Linked DNA regions of Oryzias latipes. The protein of the gene in region 2 interacts with the protein of the main gene of each other region in a pairwise test. Links are inferred from orthologs where the notes say so. Each region holds a gene or a part of one and is shown on either strand. Other genes may lie near its edges.

Region 1 (5,382 bases), about 4.2 Mb from region 2:
AGTGAGTCTCTTGAGAAGTACTTATGTGTTTCTTCTGTTCCCCTAAAGACGGCCAAGAGGAAGCGTGGGTATGTCAAGAACAAGCTGGTCCTAAGGAAAGGCAAGACCAAGTCCTTATAAACTCCATCCACTCATCAGGCTGTGGACTGGGGTTTCAACAAACATCACAGCACCATCACACGAGGAAGGCTGTTTAGACCACTCGCACCTTCAGCTCCATCAGCCCACAAGACCTCTGAGCTGAGGACTGACGCCCCCCTCGACAAACTGCCACTGTTTTCTTTTTGTACTTGAACATATTTGGATGTGATGGGAGCTGTCCTGCATCCAGAACTTCTCTTAAATGTCTTTCACCTCGATTGCAGAACCGTGTCTGAACCTGAACCACACAGCCCCTTTCCTGTTCGTGGACCAGCAGGTCTAGCTTCTGCAGGACTGATGAGCTGCACCTCATTACATAATTCTCCACCAAAGATTTCCTTATGGAAGCATTTGTTCAAGGTTGCTATGGTTACTGCTTGCCCTCAGCAAAAAAACACAAAGCTGGCATTCAACAGACCAGCATGCATTTAACGCCCTTTCTGAGCATTTTTAAGTCTGTGTTTATGCCTGATGCATTCACACTCACAGCTGGTTCAACCTCACTGTTTAGTTCAAGCTTACTCACATGCAGACAAACACTACACACATGCAGACAAACACTACACACATGTTCAAACTCTGCACGGGATGCAGTCTGCTGGCCTTGGCGCCGGCTCCAGATCCGTCTCTCAGATACGAGGGACCTGGATACCTGAAGTTGGGTTTCCTGCCTGTCTGGATGTTCTCTTTAAATGTTACAGCAATTACTAACATTTTCCCAAGATCACAATCGGAGCAAAAATCACTTGAAGTTTTCAGGAAAATTTTGCATCCACTACAGTTTAAAATCCTGACTGCAGCTCAGAGCAGGCCTGGCGCCATTGATGTCTGCATGCAGCCTCCTGCTCGTGGATCCTCAGGAAGTGTCATCAGGCTCTGGTGTTTGTCACAGCAGCTGATACTCTGGTGAACCCAGCTGCAGCAGCGTTACACAACAACAAACATTTTCCAGTAAATTTTCCACAGAAACTGTTTGGTTTGTGCAAACTAACTCCTGTTGCATTTAAGTGCACCCAGCATCAGAACGCTCCCAAAACGGGGTTCTGAAGGCTGTGTGGGCCAGAGGCTGCAGAGTCCAATGATCCGGTCTTCGATCTGGTTGTAATTTCATCCGTTCAACACTCTTCCTTTGACTGTGAGGATCTGGATGCAGGTGTGATGGAAACATGCCTTTTTGAATAAAGAGGTTTAAATATGTGGATTCCTGTTTGTACCTAACAGTTCCAGCTCTTTGACGTGTCTGGGGCCACACGCTGTAGATGCATTACAAAGACCATTCAACAAGCAGCATCAGAAACTTTAGCTCAGCTTTATGATGATTCATATCTTCTCTCTGTGAGAAGCTGCTTGTAGAAACAGATCAGGTCTTCAGAGTCTGTTTTAAAGAACGGCTGGTGTCACAGGAATGAGGTTTCTGGAGCTAGGCCGGTTTGAAGAAGACCTCAGCAATGAGATGATGCTGCTGCGCTATCCAGGCTTTTCCATGAGTCAGAAAAAACCAGTGAGTCCGATCATTCAAATGTTTAATGCTAAACGGGGAAAAAACAGTAAAACTCTGAACATTTTCACAAAACGGCAGCGTTGATGCTAACTTTAAAAAGGTTTCAGTTTTCTTGCCTTGGGGACAGGGCAGAGGGTTGGACGAGTCCTGATTGGTCCATCATGCAGCCTCTGGTTTGGTTCTTCGGATTCTGGTATTCAGGTATGCGGTGACTGGAAACCAACAGCCAGGAAGTGGAGGACCAGAACCCAACAGTCTGTTTAACATTTAGTCTTCCTCGTCTTCATCATCCCCTCCAAATGAAAGAAGGCTGATATTTTTTATTTTCTTTCCTGCTTTCTTTTCAACCCCTTCCCTTTCTCCTCCCTCCTCCTCCTCATCCTCCTTCTTCTTCTTCTTCTTGCTGGAGCTGGCAGAGATACCCTGGAATTTCTCTGCAGAAGAGCGCTTGGCTGGTTTCTTGAAGAGGATTTTACCGTCTGATTTTTCATCTGTGGGGGGCAATTGAGGGTAGAGGGTGTGGTGCACAGGTAAAGAAATTAGGGTGTTGGCTTCAACTCAGAAGGAGAAATTTTTTTTTTTTTTTTTTTTACCTTTTTCTGCTGCACCTCCAGCTTTTATATCCTTGATCATCTCTGCAGACAGGTCTCCGTCTGTCAGAACAACAACTTGTGGTTGTTCATCCTCTCGATCACTGCCGCTGTCATCCTCAGGTGTGGGAATCACCTGGCGCTGAGGAGCAGAACAAGATTTTGACTGATGGGACATTCGTTTCAAAGGATTTACTCTTTTGGTCAAACAGTGCAGGTGTTGCAGGTCCGAATCCCCTTCATAGCAGTGTGGATGACGCTGAGTTCTACACAACAGCATCATCAGAAGGATGAGCGGATCACCAACTGGGCCTCCTGGGCTGATGTTGGCTTCACCAATCTGTGTATGTGACTATGAATCTGTCTATGTATGTCTATGTGTGTCTGTGACTGAAAATACTGGAAATGAGGAGCATATTAAACTTCAATCGTCGACGCAGAGGCGATTTCTGTCCTCGTGAATCTACGTCAAGGCTTTTCAATGGACTAAACGGATAAAACCCAAAGTGAATTCACGGCTTTGTTGTTGTAGGACAGAAGCGTTTCCGGTGTCGTTTCAGCTCGTGGAACCGCCTCTCGGTACCTTGGTGTCCACGTTCGGCCCCTCCTTGTATCCAACGTCCGTTTTGAACTTCTTCAGGAAGGTGGGTTCTGCCGGCTTCACCCACGAAACCCCGCCGCTCCTCTTTTTATCCATCCTCAATGAGACGCTTCCAAAGCTTCTACCCACGGAAACATCATCATGAAGCAGCCCCTCGTGACGGTGAGGGCAGCTCTAACTGGTGGAATTGAGTACGAACTCTTCCGGGTAAATATGGCACTTCAGAATAAAAGAGTTACGTGGATGTTTTTTGTTTCCTTTCATGGATTTTCAGTAAGGATTTTTTTCATTGGGACCTAACAAACAGTGAATGTTTTAAGCCCACAAATGTAAGATCATTTTTGGTTTTGAGTGTGTTATTGATGAGCTTCTGGCTCTTATTTTGAAATGTCACCATCACCGGAAGCTCGACCCTGCTGTCAACGGAAGTCGGTCTCCTGCTCTGCTTTCATTATGTCTGGTGGGACTCTGTCCGCGCTGACGGCCGGTCTCCTGGCTGCTGCCGCCTCTCTGGCTGCCAAGTTGTCCCTGGGGGGGGACCTCCTGAAGCTGTGCGAGGCCGACGTCCCCGGGGGGGCCGCATGTAGCCAATGGGTAACAGCAAACAGAAAATGAATTGATGTTTGAAAGAGGTGAATGGCCCTAAAGTAGGGACCGCACAAGCCACAACTTTCTGTGGTCCAGTCAGAGATACCACAAACGATGGAGCTTCCAATTCCGAACACAGATAATAAACACAATAGCCCAATAGACCTCAAGCTCAGCAAGTTAATATTTTAGATATTGCTGATGATGGTCTTGTTTGTTTGTGGATACAAAACTTGGTAATCACAACACTACATCTTCCATGTCTGTACTCTGACTAAACACCATCAATTTTTCACAGGACATTATTGAAGTGATGCTGCAATTTTTAATATTTTTCAGAAGATCGTTCATTTTATGTTAGATGCTTTACGTCTGCCGAGTGCAGTTTAATATTCTGTATTAAGGGTTTGAACCTGTGACCTCTCCTTACTGCGGAGGTGTGGGATTCGGGTCTGCAATGATGAACGTCACACAAAATTTCCTCAAAGTTCAGGGGGTGGTTCTGGCGCCCTAGTTTATCTTTTAGCTTTCACGAATCTGTGAAATCGATTAAAAGTCATGAGAAAGCTGCCGTTGGCTCACAAATGTCCACTAAGTCCACTGTACCTTGTTCTAAATCGAAATCAGAGTATAACTTATGTCAGTAAGCACCACGACACATATATCAACACTGTAGATTTTCCAATTCCAAAACCAAGTTCTTCAATGGTGAAGTAAACGGCATGCACAGCGACACCCTTTGTGGTACCTACCTAAAGTGTAGCCGTCAGGACTGAGCATAGATGACCAAAAGTGTCGTCATTTAGATGTTGGGCTGTTTTATTTCTTTTTTTGCTTTGTAAGCACAGAGTCATGGTGGCTTCCTGCTGTCCCGGCAGATCCATGTTCTGCTGCGGCTGCTGTGTGGTGGCCTGATGCTCAGCTGCAACGCTCTGATGTGGACCTTCTTCTCCAGAGCCCTCCGTCACTCCTCCTCCACAGCCAGGACCACCCTCACCACCACCGGCTCCAGCTTCATCTTTTCTGTGAGCACCTCGCTTCTCCTCATTGCCGTTGTGATCACGCAGTGACCCTGAATGTCCGGCTGCAGGGGATCCTGGGGCGGCTGATGTTTGGGGAGAACCACGGGCCTTTGTGGTGGACAGGCATCAGCCTCACTCTGTGTGGACTGCTGCTGCTTCACGGAACCGCTCAGATGCCGCCGGTAGACCGCAGCTCCAAGGATAAGTGAGGCGCCAGACCTTCACCGAAGCAGAGAAGTGACCGATAGTCTTCGGAGGACGGCTCACTACTGCGGTTGTCAGGATCCTTTGGTCCTACACCAAAGCTTTGAAAACAATCTATAGTGGCAGAGATGAACCACTTGGTGACAGAAAACTGTTTTTTCCACGAGGTGGTTAAGTAAGTTAGGGTGTGCTGGTTTAAATAAATACTTGGGACTGGTTTGAAACTTTAGCTGTTTTTTGTCTGAAGCACTTTGATGGTACATGCAGTTCACAAGGCTTCAAAGCTTCATGGATGCTGGGAACTGTGGTCTGTGATTAGCCACCTCTTGGAGCGTCCTCTCATCTCAGACCAGCAGGAGAATCTCCACCACTGTTTAAGAACTAAGAAACGTGAAGAGACTTGAGTCGAGGACATTTTTGTTTCAAAAAATGCCATATTCCTGCACTTGTTTTTCAGATAAGTCTAGCTTCTTAGCATGTATGAAAATTACAAGTCTAAAAAAAGTCCCATAATGATAAAAAAGATGATAGATGGCATCTATAAAAAAGACAAAAGAGGATATCTATCTATATATATATATATATGGAAACACTGGAGGGCCTGTCTAATGTTTATGGTGTTTTATGCATAAGTAATCTTTTTATTTTATTCATATATTTTTTTACGAATTTCTCTTTTACTTTTCATTAACTATTGTTATTTTTGTATACTGCTTCTTAACTGGTGTATTCTTG
Region 2 (6,220 bases):
GTAATATATTATTTAAAAGTAGGGGTTGCTTATCCGACCATAACAATCAGGGTGGCTTACCAACTCCCATTAACTCCACAGCAAAACAAGTCTTGCTGTTTGTTGAGCTGAGAACTGGCCTCCAATCCAGGAAATAGGACGACACCAGCGTCGTCTCACCAGAAATGTCCGTCTTGATCAGGACAAAGTGGATAGGGTCGCATATAGACAGCATAGAGGCTGCATCCATCACTTTACCTCCATCTTTAACAAGAAAAGAAGTCATGATTAGGTTCAAGGAGGAGATGTATTTTTTAAGCCTGGAACCTAAGTTCAAGCTCATCTTCACTAACCTCTAAACAGTTACTTTCCTCCTACCTGCATTGTCCCTGCAGAGTTCCAGGAGGAAGTTTTCCCTCATGTCTGGTTCACAGGTACAGGGCACAGGCTTAGATCCAAACCTCTGGTCGCGGAAATGTAGGTAGAGTGTAAACGTAGAAGACACCTGACCAGGTAACGGCTGTGGTTCCTGCAGGTGCTCCAGAAAGGCCTTCCCACCAAGAACTTGGAGATGCAGGTACTGCCTTGATGGGTCTACGTTGATTTGCAAGAAGTAAGAAAAATTAAAACAAGTATGACACAAACACGACACTGTGCACCGCATCATAATTTCTCTTACTCTGTCTCAGCTCGGTCATTTCTTTGTCACCATAATGACTGAAAGGCTTAGATGGAAATCCTGATGCTGTTTTTGTTGCTTTTTCCTACAAAGGCAGGCAGTTAGTGATAGAGTTCCTCAGTCTTTTCTGAATAGAGACAGCTCTCTTCGTTTCTAACATGTGATCTGTCAGTGAGAGGCGAGAACACCTGGCTGAAACGGAGGTCTTTCATCACATCATCTATTATGCCTCTGCGCTGTAGAGCACGTCTGAAATCCTCCTCCGACAAACGTCCAGAGCCGGGATCCACCCTTGCAGTCTCCGCCAGCACCTCTTGGATTTTCCCGTGGATGTTCATCTGAGGAACAGAAATAAAAGGTTGTGTTAGAAGTTCCTCGAACTTAACCTCAGCAGGGAAGAGGAACAGACAGTTTGAACAGACAGCAGTTAGACCAAGCATGGGGACTGTGCCTTAAAAATCTACGCCAATCATCTTTTGCTCTATTGTAAAATTGTTTCCAGTGGTATTTTAATCTTGTTAGGACATAGTTTCTGCAGAGCGGCAGGAGTTCATTAGAAATTCACCTCCAAGTTGTGGGCAGGACTGCTGGTGTGGAGTGAGCCTGCCATCATTTCCCATTAACCCTATGATTACATTCTCTCCTGCTAGCTTACAGTCCCCTCACACCCCCAAGCTAACATTAGCGGTGCAACAAAGATGGCGAGCAATATCGGCGCTATCCTGCTGTACAGATCTAAGCCAGATTCCAGCTCAGACGAGGAAAACAAAGACGTACATGGATCTGTTTGTCTGACAGTGAATGCATCAGAATAGAGCAGAGCAGGGAGCCTGTAGCTTCAACTACAACCATTTTCAAACTGTATTATTTTCATCAGTTCAAAATAATTTGTTAAAATGTTTTACATGATACAGGTTTATACAGTTGATCACGTGTTTTTTTTTACACTTTTGAAGCTGTATTTATTTATTTAATATTTAATACGAATCTCATTTTTGATAATAATTGTCATAATAATTTTCACAATAATTTTAATAATCATTTTTAATAATTTAATATGAATGTCATTTTTGATGTCCTTTTTTGATGTTGTATTATATAGATTATTTCTGAATGTCGTTTTTGCTGCCACAGATAATTAAAATTTCTCCATTGTGGGATTAACAAAGTCATTTATCTATCTATCTATCTATCTAAAAGAGATACTCAGAAATGCAATTTTAATCTTAATTGTCTTTATAAATGTCTACAATCATCGGAAAAATGCTACAAGAACATGTTAAAAACACCATTTTCTTTGGAGTGGGTCCTCTAACAGCTTTAGATTATGGTAACTAGATTTTTGAGCCGCAGGTTTTTACAATCACACAGGCTTTAATGTCACATAGAAGATGAAGATAATGATGTATGTTAGGCCTGCACAATATACCGCAAATTTATCGTTATCGCAATATCCAGCTCTGCAATATGCATATCACAAAAGACGGCGAATATCGCAATAAATCGCAAACCCAAAATGTGTTAAAACAATCTTCTAGCAGCTTGAAGCATTTAACGAATCAAATAAATACCTTTATGCTTTGACTAATCAGATGGACGCCTTTCCATTGTTAACCAATCAGATGGAGGCCTATTATGTTAGATGTTTGTCCCCCATGTCGATGAGGGTCATTTGGAGTGTAATTTTTAAACTGTTGCAATGAAATGGGAATGATGTTTTTGTTTATTTTTCTATTTGTTTATTTACCGCAAATTTATCGTTATCGCAATATTGATCACTAATATCGCATATCGCAAGTTTTCCTCATATCGTGCAGCCCTAATGTATGTTGAGCTGAGGGGTTGGCCCCGCCTTCAGCCCCTAAGGCTCATGGGAAGTGGGGAGCTTTAGGGTGAAACCTTGAGTCAGAGGGTTGTGCACTGAAGCGACAGTCCATGCTGTTAGACTGTTTGAGTGTGTTGGAATAATAGGGCTTGATGCTCGAAAGGTGACTGTGCCTCTGCTTGTGTTAATTCCTGTCTGAGACCAACCGGGGTCGTGCGGTATATGGGGCTCGGACAGTTCTCCCTCATGAGCAGTTGGTTTACGCTACCCCGCTTAAGTGACGGTCTGGCTGGATCGTTACAATATATTTAAAAAAAACTCAGGTTTAAGAAAAGGTTAATCAACTTAAAAAATATACTTCCAACTTCATAAAACATGTTGGTTCTTAATGATCCTCGAACGCAACAGCTGTAGCCTTGGGTCACAATCCCAACATTGACTTTTATGATTATTGATCTCTGTTATTGCCTTTTTAGCTGGCTGCTGTAGTGATGAGAGTAGTGTTTGAAATGACATAGCTTTTATGATTATCTCTTTTAATTCAACCCTTCTTTGGGAATCTGAAGAAAAAAAATTCCTCCTTCGAAAAGTTACTAGTAATGCCATCTTAAATATTTGATGAAGTTGTTTGTTGTTGGTCAGAAGGGTGGTCGGGGTTTAAAACACATAACAGCTATAAGAATTCATGCACAAAAAATAATCATAAAGGACGGTAAATCTAAAGTGCAAACTCTTGAAAACAGAGGATACAACACTAGCGCGTTAAATTTTCTTACCTTCTTCAGGTGACTCTGAATAATCTGCTTCAGTTCGGAGGTTTTTTCTGGAGGTAAAGACATTATAGCTGCAAAATCTGATCCTACGAGATGATTAAAAGTTTACAACAACAAGCTCTGCAGCATAATTTTTGAATTCAGCGGAAATCTAAAACTGTTATGTCCATACAAGAGACGGGGTCCTGACAAGCCCAACAGCCAGACAGTTGCAGAGGAAGGCGTCTAGGTTAATGCCTGAACGAAAAGGAAGAAAATGGAATGACTCATTCTATCGCGTAGCTAAGTAATCATTGTTTTGTACATCAAAATTTTCAGTTTTATAAGGTCACATCATGCAGAAATTAATATTGTTTTTTCGGGATTTTTAGCCAAAAATGTTGTGAATTATATTCAGGAATCCCATTGGTCCATCGTCAGCGAAACATTTAAAAACCAGCCTTAAACAATGCACCTCCAGCTTAATGCAACGTGTGGTGCTGATGCTGCTCCAGAACCTGCACAGCTTCTCATACTTTGTGGAACGATGAATTCTGCGCTCAACTTAACACCTTTGACGGAGAATGTCCACCCTTCATTATTTTTTCTGCTAGAAAAAGATATTAAACATGGCAGAACGTAGCTTCCAAAGTGAAAAAATAGAAAGGTGTTGAAGGAAGCTGTCCAATGTCCAGACAATATGACCTTTAAAACATGTAAGGTTAATGCTGGAAAGTACTAAACCACAACACCTCTGCAAGTTAGAATTAAACCCAATTAATCCACAGACTTGTACAGTTGATCGCAGTTGTAAGAAATGATGAAAAAACAATTTCAAGGATGTCATTTAGATTATTATGGCAAATATGCAATGGATTTGTTACATGGGCAGGTATTTTTATACTTCCAGTTTAATGTTTTAGTAAACATGTTACCTTGCTCTGAAACAAAGCAGGGATTTTATCTGTTTACAGTCCACTTAGTAAATACTTTCTTTCATCAATTCATTCATCTTCTAAACCCATTTAGTCCTTTTCCAGTGCTGCTGGAGCCTATCCCGGCCACTCATGGGTGAAGTCAGTGGACATCCTGGACAGGTCGCCAGTCTGTTTCAGGGCCACATATCACACACCCACACACACACTCATATTGACACCTATGGACAATTTAGAGTAACCAATTTACCTATGAAGCATGTTTTGGACGGTGGGAAGAAGCCAGAGTCCCCGGAGAAAACCCACGCATGCACAGGGAAAACATGCAAACTCCTAACAGAAAGGTCCCCGTTGGTGTTCCGTTTCAGGTCCCCCAGCCGGGCTTTGAACTGGGGGCCTTCCTGCTGTGAGGCAAGAGGGTCCACTGTGCAGCCACTTACTAAATACCAAGGTATAAAAACAAATACAAGGAAAAATATCCGTCGTCCCAGGTGGTAAAGAGCACACGTAGAAGAGGAAGGGACACTATTTTCTGCAGCTAGTCGCTAAATTCATAAATCCAAGCTTCATTCTTTCACTCAGAATGTCCCACTGCAGACGACATAAAATAACTAAAGTCCTGATTACCAGAAAACCCTCTTTAAAAACTGAATTTGTTTTTAGAATCCAGTTCCAGGCCTCCAGTCTGACCACATTGGAGTAGTTGATGGTCAAACGATATTACAAATATATTAGTAAGTACATTTTATTTGTATAGCACCTTTCACAGACAGGAGTCACAAGGTGCTTGACAGGTTAAAATATGTATATATACACATATAAAAACACAAAAGATAAAAAGCATAAACCACCAATATTAGCACAGTATAAAGAGGAATGTTGAAGCTATGATGCCGACTGCCCAGATGTGATGCCTCTGGATTACACAATACAAACAGGGCTGGATGAGAGAGAGAGAGAAAGAATAAAAAGATTCTCTACCTTTGAAGATTTTTTTTATCATTTTAAATTCTGGCTGTTAACTGGAATTTGCTCATGTCTTACATTTCATGTAAACCAGTGAAGAGTATGGTGTGACTAAATAAATTCAGGGCTCAGTACAGGCTAAACAAATACACTGTATTACCAAATGTACCAAATGATGAGAATCAGGTGTCCTAATCACTGGGCTGTATAAAATCAAGCACTCAGACTTTCAGACTGTTTATGCAAACATTTCTGAAAGAATGGTCCTCTCTCCGCAGCTCAGTGAATTCCAGCGTGGAACTGTCATAGGACGCCACCTCTGCAATAAATCCATTGGTGAAATCTCCTCACTCCTAAATACTCCACAGTCAACTGTCAGCTCTATCATAACAAAATGAAAAAGTTTGGGAACAACAGCAACTCAGCCACAAAGTGGTAGACCACGTAAGTGACGGAGAGGTGTCAGTAGATGCTGAAGCGCATAGAGGTTGCCGACTTTCTGCAGTCAATTGCTGGAGAGCTCCAAACTTCATGTGACCTTCAGATCAGCCCAAGTAAATCACTAAGAGAGCTTCATGGAATGGGTTTCCATGGCTGGGCAGCTGCATCCAAGCCACACATCACCAAGTGCAATGCAAAGCGTCGGATGCAGAGGTGTAAAGCACGCCGCCACTGAACTCTAGAGCAGTGGAGACGCCTTCTCCGGAGTCATGAATCCCGCTTTTCCATCTGGAAATCTGATGGACGAGTCTGGGTTTGGAGGTTGCCAGGACAACGGTACATTTCGGACTGCATTGGGCAGAGTGTGAAATTTGGTGGAGGAATTATGGTGTGGGCTTGTTTTTCAGGACTTGTTCCTTTAGTTCCAGTGAAATGAACTCTGAATGCTTCAGGATACCAAAACCTTTTGGACAATTCCATGCTTCCAACCCAGTTGGAAGCATGGAAGTGGGTTTGAAGTGGGTCCCTTCCTCTTCAAACATGACTGTGCACCAGAGCACAAAGCCAGGTCCATAAAGACATGGATGTGGATGAACTTGACTGTCCTGCACAGAGTCCTGACCTGAACCCCATAGAAAACCTT
Region 3 (6,431 bases), on a different chromosome or scaffold from region 2:
ATAAACAACAAAGAAACAAATAATAAATAGACAAATAAAGACTAGACTAATAAACACAAGACAAACAGACAAAGAGACAAATAAAGAAAAATAAAAACCAAGAAGACAAACAAATAAACAGATAAACAACCACAATAATAGACAAACAGTTGGACAGACAGAAAAATAAATAAAGGCCGATGTTATTCGCATGGATTTATGTGCAACCAACCACAAAAAGTGATTGCTGGAGTGCTCCACGTTTTCAACCCAGGCGAACAGTCGCTTCCATAATTACATTTGAAAAATTGTAGTTTGCTTCAGCCCTCAAAACCTCTGCCAGTCGACTGCGGCGCAGACTGTCGTGACGGCGGGGTCGTTCTGCAGGAGTGACCTGACAGGACGGCCCCCACACCTCAGAAGCCAGAGCAGCAAACACATTGTACCCATAGCAGAGCCAAGATAAGGCGGGTGTGCTGCTGTGCGGCAGCATCCGTGTGACCGTCAACTAAAAAGGACTTCAGCAAAGACCGAACAATGAAAAGAGTTTAGAAAATGTGTCGTTTTCTCTTGTTATCAAAAAGTGGATCTGATTATAAAAACAGAAAGAATTGCAGTATCAGTTTGTGATTAATTGAATGAAATAACGCTGCTAAAGAGGCGATTACAGTGCAGTGATAACAACTACAGCAGCACAAAGTCATTGTAGTCACTTACAGTGCAGCTTGAGCTTATTTTTAGCTGCTGTCTTTTTACAGAGGAGATAAGGACCTTCCTGCACTTGGAAGAGAAGCAGAAGGAGGTTATACTCTAGTTTCGCTTCCCAGCTCCCCTGATGCAGTGTGACACAACGCCGCACTCGAGCTGCCTTTACTCTGTAACACCTGCCAGACTGCTGCTGCCGCTCTCAATGAGCCCCAGATTTCATCAAAATACAAAAAAAAAAAATAATGTGCAGGCCAATCTATCAATGTGTCAGTACAATGATGCAGCTTCATTAAGATTTAAACACATTTAAATGTTTTTTTTTCTATTGTAGGAGCTAAACATCTTTAATTAAAATCTATTTTAATGAGTTTAAAGAAACCTTTATTAAAACGGAGCAAAGCACAGTTTGCCAATCCAAATTTGAAACCAAACCTCTACAAAATAAAAGCATATTTGACACTGTTTATCTTTCAACTATGCATAGCAATTATGATTGTGATGGCTTATTGTTAAATCCTGAAAAGCAGGGGAGTACTGGGCGATGAAAAGACATTATTCTTCAAATGCAGCTAATCTTTTAATTTCAAGCTTTTACTGCCTGTTGTAGATAATGACTTATTTCATGTACCTGATAAGGTCCAAATGGCTAAAAAAATTCAACTGTTTTTCCTCTTGGTCTGTTTAAAAGGGTTTCAAATAAAAAAATAAAAAGCATAACTTTTTAGAAACACTATTTTTCCCCAAAAGAAAAGATGATGTGATTTATTTATTTTTTTAAATAAAAAAAAATCCTTTGTGGCCAGAAGAAGTGGATGCAAACAATTTGCCCAGACCTTGAGTTGAGTGTCTCTTCTCCAATTGGTGCAGGTCAGGGAGGATATGCATGCAGTTGATGCAGCAGTAAGTGAAGAAATCCAGCAGCACCACTTTCCCGGCCAGATCCTTATTTAGAGACAGCGGCGCATCTGTGTTCAGCCACTCTAAGCCTAGAACAAAACTAAAACAGGTCAGAAATGCACCCACCCTTTAAATGTATCAATCTGTGTGCAAACATATGTCTTTTTAATCTCCAATCAACAAAATTCTTCTATTTCTTTTTCTTACAACACATTTTTTTTCTACGAACTAGATGACAGAGACTCTTAAACACACTGAAGAAGATATGAGGGTTGTGAAATAAAGCAAAAAGTTTTTTTTACAAATCTATGCATCAATTGTTACAACGAGAAAATATTTTAAAATACATAAGTGCTGACACTAAAAGTCCATAAAAAACATGTGCCTCTTACTTCTATTAAATTGTTTTTGCACATTTGTGAAACTAAAATGTATTAAACTGAAATTGTTGGTATCAACCAAAAAATATCAATAACAAATCGTGAAAAAAAAAGCAATCTAAACATGGAACTTTGTGGAGAAACTATAAGTTGATGTAACAGAGCAGTTCTGTGTGTTCAGTTGGGCTTCAAGTTCTCAAACCAATAGATGAAGGGGGAGGAATAAATCACTTAAAAGAGCTTTGTTTGAGGGTCAAATGTGCAAAAATATTTTAAAAAGCAGCACATTTTTCCAGAAACTGGACCGACTTAAAATCTGTCAGAATTGACAAAACAAACAGAATAACCTTCTCTATATCTCCAATACATGACGACTCACTCGGGAGGTCACAACAGAGCCCTGCCCAGCATTTAATTAACAAACTTAGTTCTAAGCAGTCCCCATAAATTAACAAAACAAAAGGAAAGAAAACCGTCAATGTGACAAACATCCAAGAAGAGAAGCACTGCTGACCTAAAATACAGTATAACTTCACCAAAGTTATTGCACAAGTTTGCAAATATTGTCATTAATGAGACAAAAGTTCATCTTTTTGAAAGATTGTAACATCAGATGTAGGCTGACAATTTTTGAAATTAACACCCAACCAACAGTGAAACATGGTGGCGGTAATATGATGGTTTGGGATTTCAGGACGGAACTTTCTAAATGTTTAAATTCTGCAAAGATAGTTAGGTCAAAATACCTCCTAAGCTACATTTTTGACGCAACACTAGTTTTCATAAATGCCTGATTAAGTGCTACTGCAAGTTTTTTATACACAGCCAAGCAGCAATTACTACAGGGATGGACCTTGCCCTCCCCCCACTGCTGATTACCTGGATCAGGTGTGTCAACCAAAAGATATCTGGACAGGGTTTGTTGAAAAAACAATGCCTGCTTTAGACAATATCAAGAATTTTTAAGATATCACATATTTTATCCTCAAACATAATTGTTTTTTAATGAAGTTAAATATTTTGTCTCGTATGTGAAAAATATCACCCCCTACTGGTAAGGTGGGATACTAACTAAGATGAGAGATTTACTGAACTTAGCTTAAAGAAACTCCTACTCACAAACAATTTTTTCCCCTTTAAATTATAATTTAATGCAGTTCTGCTGTTATCTATGATGCATCAAAAGGTAGGAATAACATTTACTTGCCTGTCAACAACGAGCATTTGTGGTTAAATTGTGGCAGGAGAGTTTTTCCACTGGTGGGTTTAACATTAAAAGGAATAAATACATACATTGTGTTTAATACATTTAAAATAATTTACCTTTAACAGCCTACTTTGTTTTAGTCTACTTTGGATCGTTGTGATGTTATTTGGTGAGGTAATTATTAAATAAGATAACAAAACAAACCTCAGATTCGCAGAAAAATGCTTGAAAAAACATAGGTTGTAAATAAAATTGAGAGCAAACTGTTAGTTATAATGCTACAATGTTTTAGTATAAAACATATATTTATTGTAAACTGTTTTCCAAAGTCTTTTGTCAGCTGCTGTTGAGGGGAGATGGTTATCTGTACCTTAAAAAGACAGGAAACCTGAGAAAAATGATATAAAAATGAAAATTTTAAAAATGGTTGAATCCAACAACAGAAAGTGCCTTCTGTGTGTTCAGTTCTCAATTATTTAAAATGGTAGTAAAATGTAGTTAGCAAACTTTAGAGAAGGTGTTTTGACAGAATAACACAGAGCTATGCGGAAGTTAAAAGATGCTAGAGGGTCTAACCTGTTTGGAAATCAGGAATCTTCGTGTCTTCCCTCTCGTCTACCCTTTCCAAAAACTGGTGAACAAGTTCCTCTTTTTCTTCTTGCGTAGTGGCGTTTTCTAGGTCACAATCAAGCTGACTCTGAATGGGAAACAGAGTGGAGAGGCTACACTTGGACGCCATGTTTTCAAAAGGCGTTTGGAATGTCTGCACGTCATCAGTTGCTTGGTAGTGACGAGCCAATCACAAAAGACTCCGCCTTTCGTTCTTCGGCTGTGATTTACGTATACAAGTACTTAAATTCGTAACAGCACTTTTACAAGAAAAATAATAATGCAAAAACATATAAATTTAAATATATTTTAATCTGTGGTTGCTTTATAGGAATATTACTTGAGGAAAAATATGTATATGTTTTTTATGTAAATAATACACCATAGAAAAATAGTTCTCTTTTGGAAACTGTTACCGTTTTAAGCTAGTTACATTCACTTAGTTTATCAACACACCTTGGCGGCAAGTCATGCTAACAGAAATATATTGAAAAATCCAAATTAAGCTAAATATGTGGAGAAAACGTAACACCGTGTATTTTTAACAATCTACGCAAGTATTTTTTTTACAACATTTATCATATTTACGAACAAACTCGTTTTTCAGTATTTTCTTTGCCGCGGAATGTTACCAAACGTTAGGACTTGTGTAATAACAGGCTTGCGTTACTGTCTCTTGTCCAAATGTCACAGAAGGACGACTCTGAAAATGACATTTGGGAGTACAGACCCCTTGAGAAGAAAAGAAAAAGGAACGACTCACCGTCTGGGACCAAAAGAAGAACAAGAAGCACCTCCAGGAAAACTAAGAAGCAAACTTCTGTTTCAATTAAGTCAGATAAGAGTTTGAACAAAGCAGCAGAAAGGAGGGATTCATGCACCACAACCGGTAACGAAGACGCCAGAAGCAGCTTAAAGTCTCACAATTTACCCTTTAATGCATCCAAAACGCAAGACTCCACACAAAAAAGCAACGACAATGTTGTCGAGGAGCCAACATCATCAGAAGACTTCTGTCCAGTCTGCCAGATGCCATTCAGCATTTTGGTCGTGCAGACCCAAAGATGGCATATCGCTGAATGTCTGGACACTCCAAGGGACAAATGCAAAGGTACACACATCCAGATAAAACTCACCCTCAAACTGACCGAATGGATCTAACACTTAGATTGTCGTGTTCATGTTTTCCTCTGCAATAATATGTGCTCTTATAACAAACGTACACATCTAGGATAATTGTTGAAGATTGGCAAACTGTTGTCATTCCTTTAAGATAAAAGCATAGGTGCAATCTGATATGAATAATGTGAAAGATACAACTTTAAAGGATTGAAGATCAACAATAAAAACTTGATTTAATTAATCAAGCAGTTTTTTATTGTCTCATCAACCATGTTTATGAAACAAATTTGTTCCTAGGTCCCATTTACAAGGTGCAGAATAACAGCAGGGATAGAATATTTATATAAAAATCATATATAAATACTGAGACCTATACTGTACATTAAATAAAATTATTTTTGGCCCATGCAATATAAAATATTACTATAAATTATTTGTTTTGAGTCCCCCCCCCAAATATTATGTTTTTATAAGGGTTATCTGTTAAAAAAAAGTAAACAAAAAAATTGAAGATAACTCAACATTTTTCTAAATTTGGAAAAAGTTCGATTTTGTTCTCATTAGTTTCAAGAGTCACTGCATTGTTTTCTAAGTGTCTTTAGTTGTTTTATAAAAGTTCCATTTAGTCAAGTCGTAACTAAGGCAACAACCAAGCCTCTTTTCTTGGCTTCTTTTCTGTAAATGCTTAGACCGTTTTTTAGCCGGCTAAGGGATATGCTGAGCAGGATTGTGTCATCAGCATACATACTCCAGGTCAGTCAGATGGTAATTGCGACCCTTCATGGACTTGCTCATGGGCCCGGGACATCAGCTGATCCATGATGAGGTCAAAAAGATGAGGAGCTGCCGCACAGCCCTGGCGAACGCCACTGGAGATGGGAAACCAATCTGAGTCTTTGGCGTTTACACGGACACTGCTCTCTGCGTTGCTGTAGAGCAGACTGAGTAGAGAAACAATCTTGGGTGGTGCTCCAAGGGTCTGTAGGATATTCCACAGTGAGGAATCACCCTTGGGTTTCCAGAGGGGCAGGATAACGGCTCTATTTCAGTTAGTCGGAAGCCTCTCTGACTCGTACACCTCATGAAAGATGTGGGTTACCCACTGGATGTTGTGAATCAGGAGCAGACCAACAAAAAAGCTGTTTGAAAAAGAGTGTATGTGTAACATAGAAAATATGCTGGGCGGGCTACAAGCTCCCTTCTTCAAACTCTCAGCAATGGGGAGGCGAAGGGGGGCGGGGGTGCTTTGCACTGGTGGTCCCAACCACAAGTCATAGGCGAATTTCTGATGTCTAGAAAACAACACGGAAAAGGTGTTTAATTTGCTATCTTGCCCACAGAGTCATTTTTTTTTTAACTCTTTGTTTTGAATGTCTGCACAGAATGTACAGATGGCCTCCAGTGCTCTTCCACCATTCCAAACCACTACAAGAACTTCAAACACACGCTCCTCGCTCACAGTCGTGCAAACAGCAACACGGCCATCGTCGCTCAGTCCCAGGAAGCCGCCGTGCCTCCCAGTCCGTGCC

The links.
Region 1: the proteins of cep76 (region 2) and kiaa1143 interact in binary tests that used the Homo sapiens proteins (3 or more experiments, as listed by UniProt). The two-hybrid records come from large-scale screens. The link is inferred for Oryzias latipes from reciprocal best matches to the Homo sapiens genes CEP76 and KIAA1143.
Region 3: the proteins of cep76 (region 2) and nhlrc2 interact in binary tests that used the Homo sapiens proteins (3 or more experiments, as listed by UniProt). The two-hybrid records come from large-scale screens. The link is inferred for Oryzias latipes from reciprocal best matches to the Homo sapiens genes CEP76 and NHLRC2.

What each region holds. Positions count from the first base shown.
Region 1 is NC_019874.2:9,744,498-9,749,879, forward strand, and holds kiaa1143 (uncharacterized protein KIAA1143 homolog), read right to left. Parts: upstream 3,029-5,382; 5' UTR 2,930-3,028; coding exon 2,816-2,929; intron 2,375-2,815; coding exon 2,236-2,374; intron 2,134-2,235; coding exon 1,910-2,133; 3' UTR 1,648-1,909; downstream 1-1,647. Other genes in the region: dolichyl-diphosphooligosaccharide--protein glycosyltransferase subunit STT3B-like, read left to right, coding at 49-120; transmembrane protein 42, read left to right, coding at 3,287-3,427, 4,300-4,446, 4,512-4,652.
Region 2 is NC_019874.2:5,535,284-5,541,503, reverse strand, and holds the start of cep76 (centrosomal protein of 76 kDa), read right to left. Parts: upstream 3,462-6,220; 5' UTR 3,323-3,461; coding exon 3,260-3,322; intron 997-3,259; coding exon 847-996; intron 744-846; coding exon 659-743; intron 574-658; coding exon 358-573; intron 244-357; coding exon 61-243; intron 1-60. UniProt on the Homo sapiens protein: Centrosomal protein involved in regulation of centriole duplication. Required to limit centriole duplication to once per cell cycle by preventing centriole reduplication.
Region 3 is NC_019877.2:5,393,234-5,399,664, reverse strand, and holds the start of nhlrc2 (NHL repeat-containing protein 2), read right to left. Parts: upstream 3,948-6,431; 5' UTR 3,911-3,947; coding exon 3,748-3,910; intron 1,674-3,747; coding exon 1,521-1,673; intron 1-1,520. Other genes in the region: dclre1a (DNA cross-link repair 1A protein), read left to right, coding at 4,465-4,891, 6,285-6,431. UniProt on the Homo sapiens protein: Required for normal embryonic development.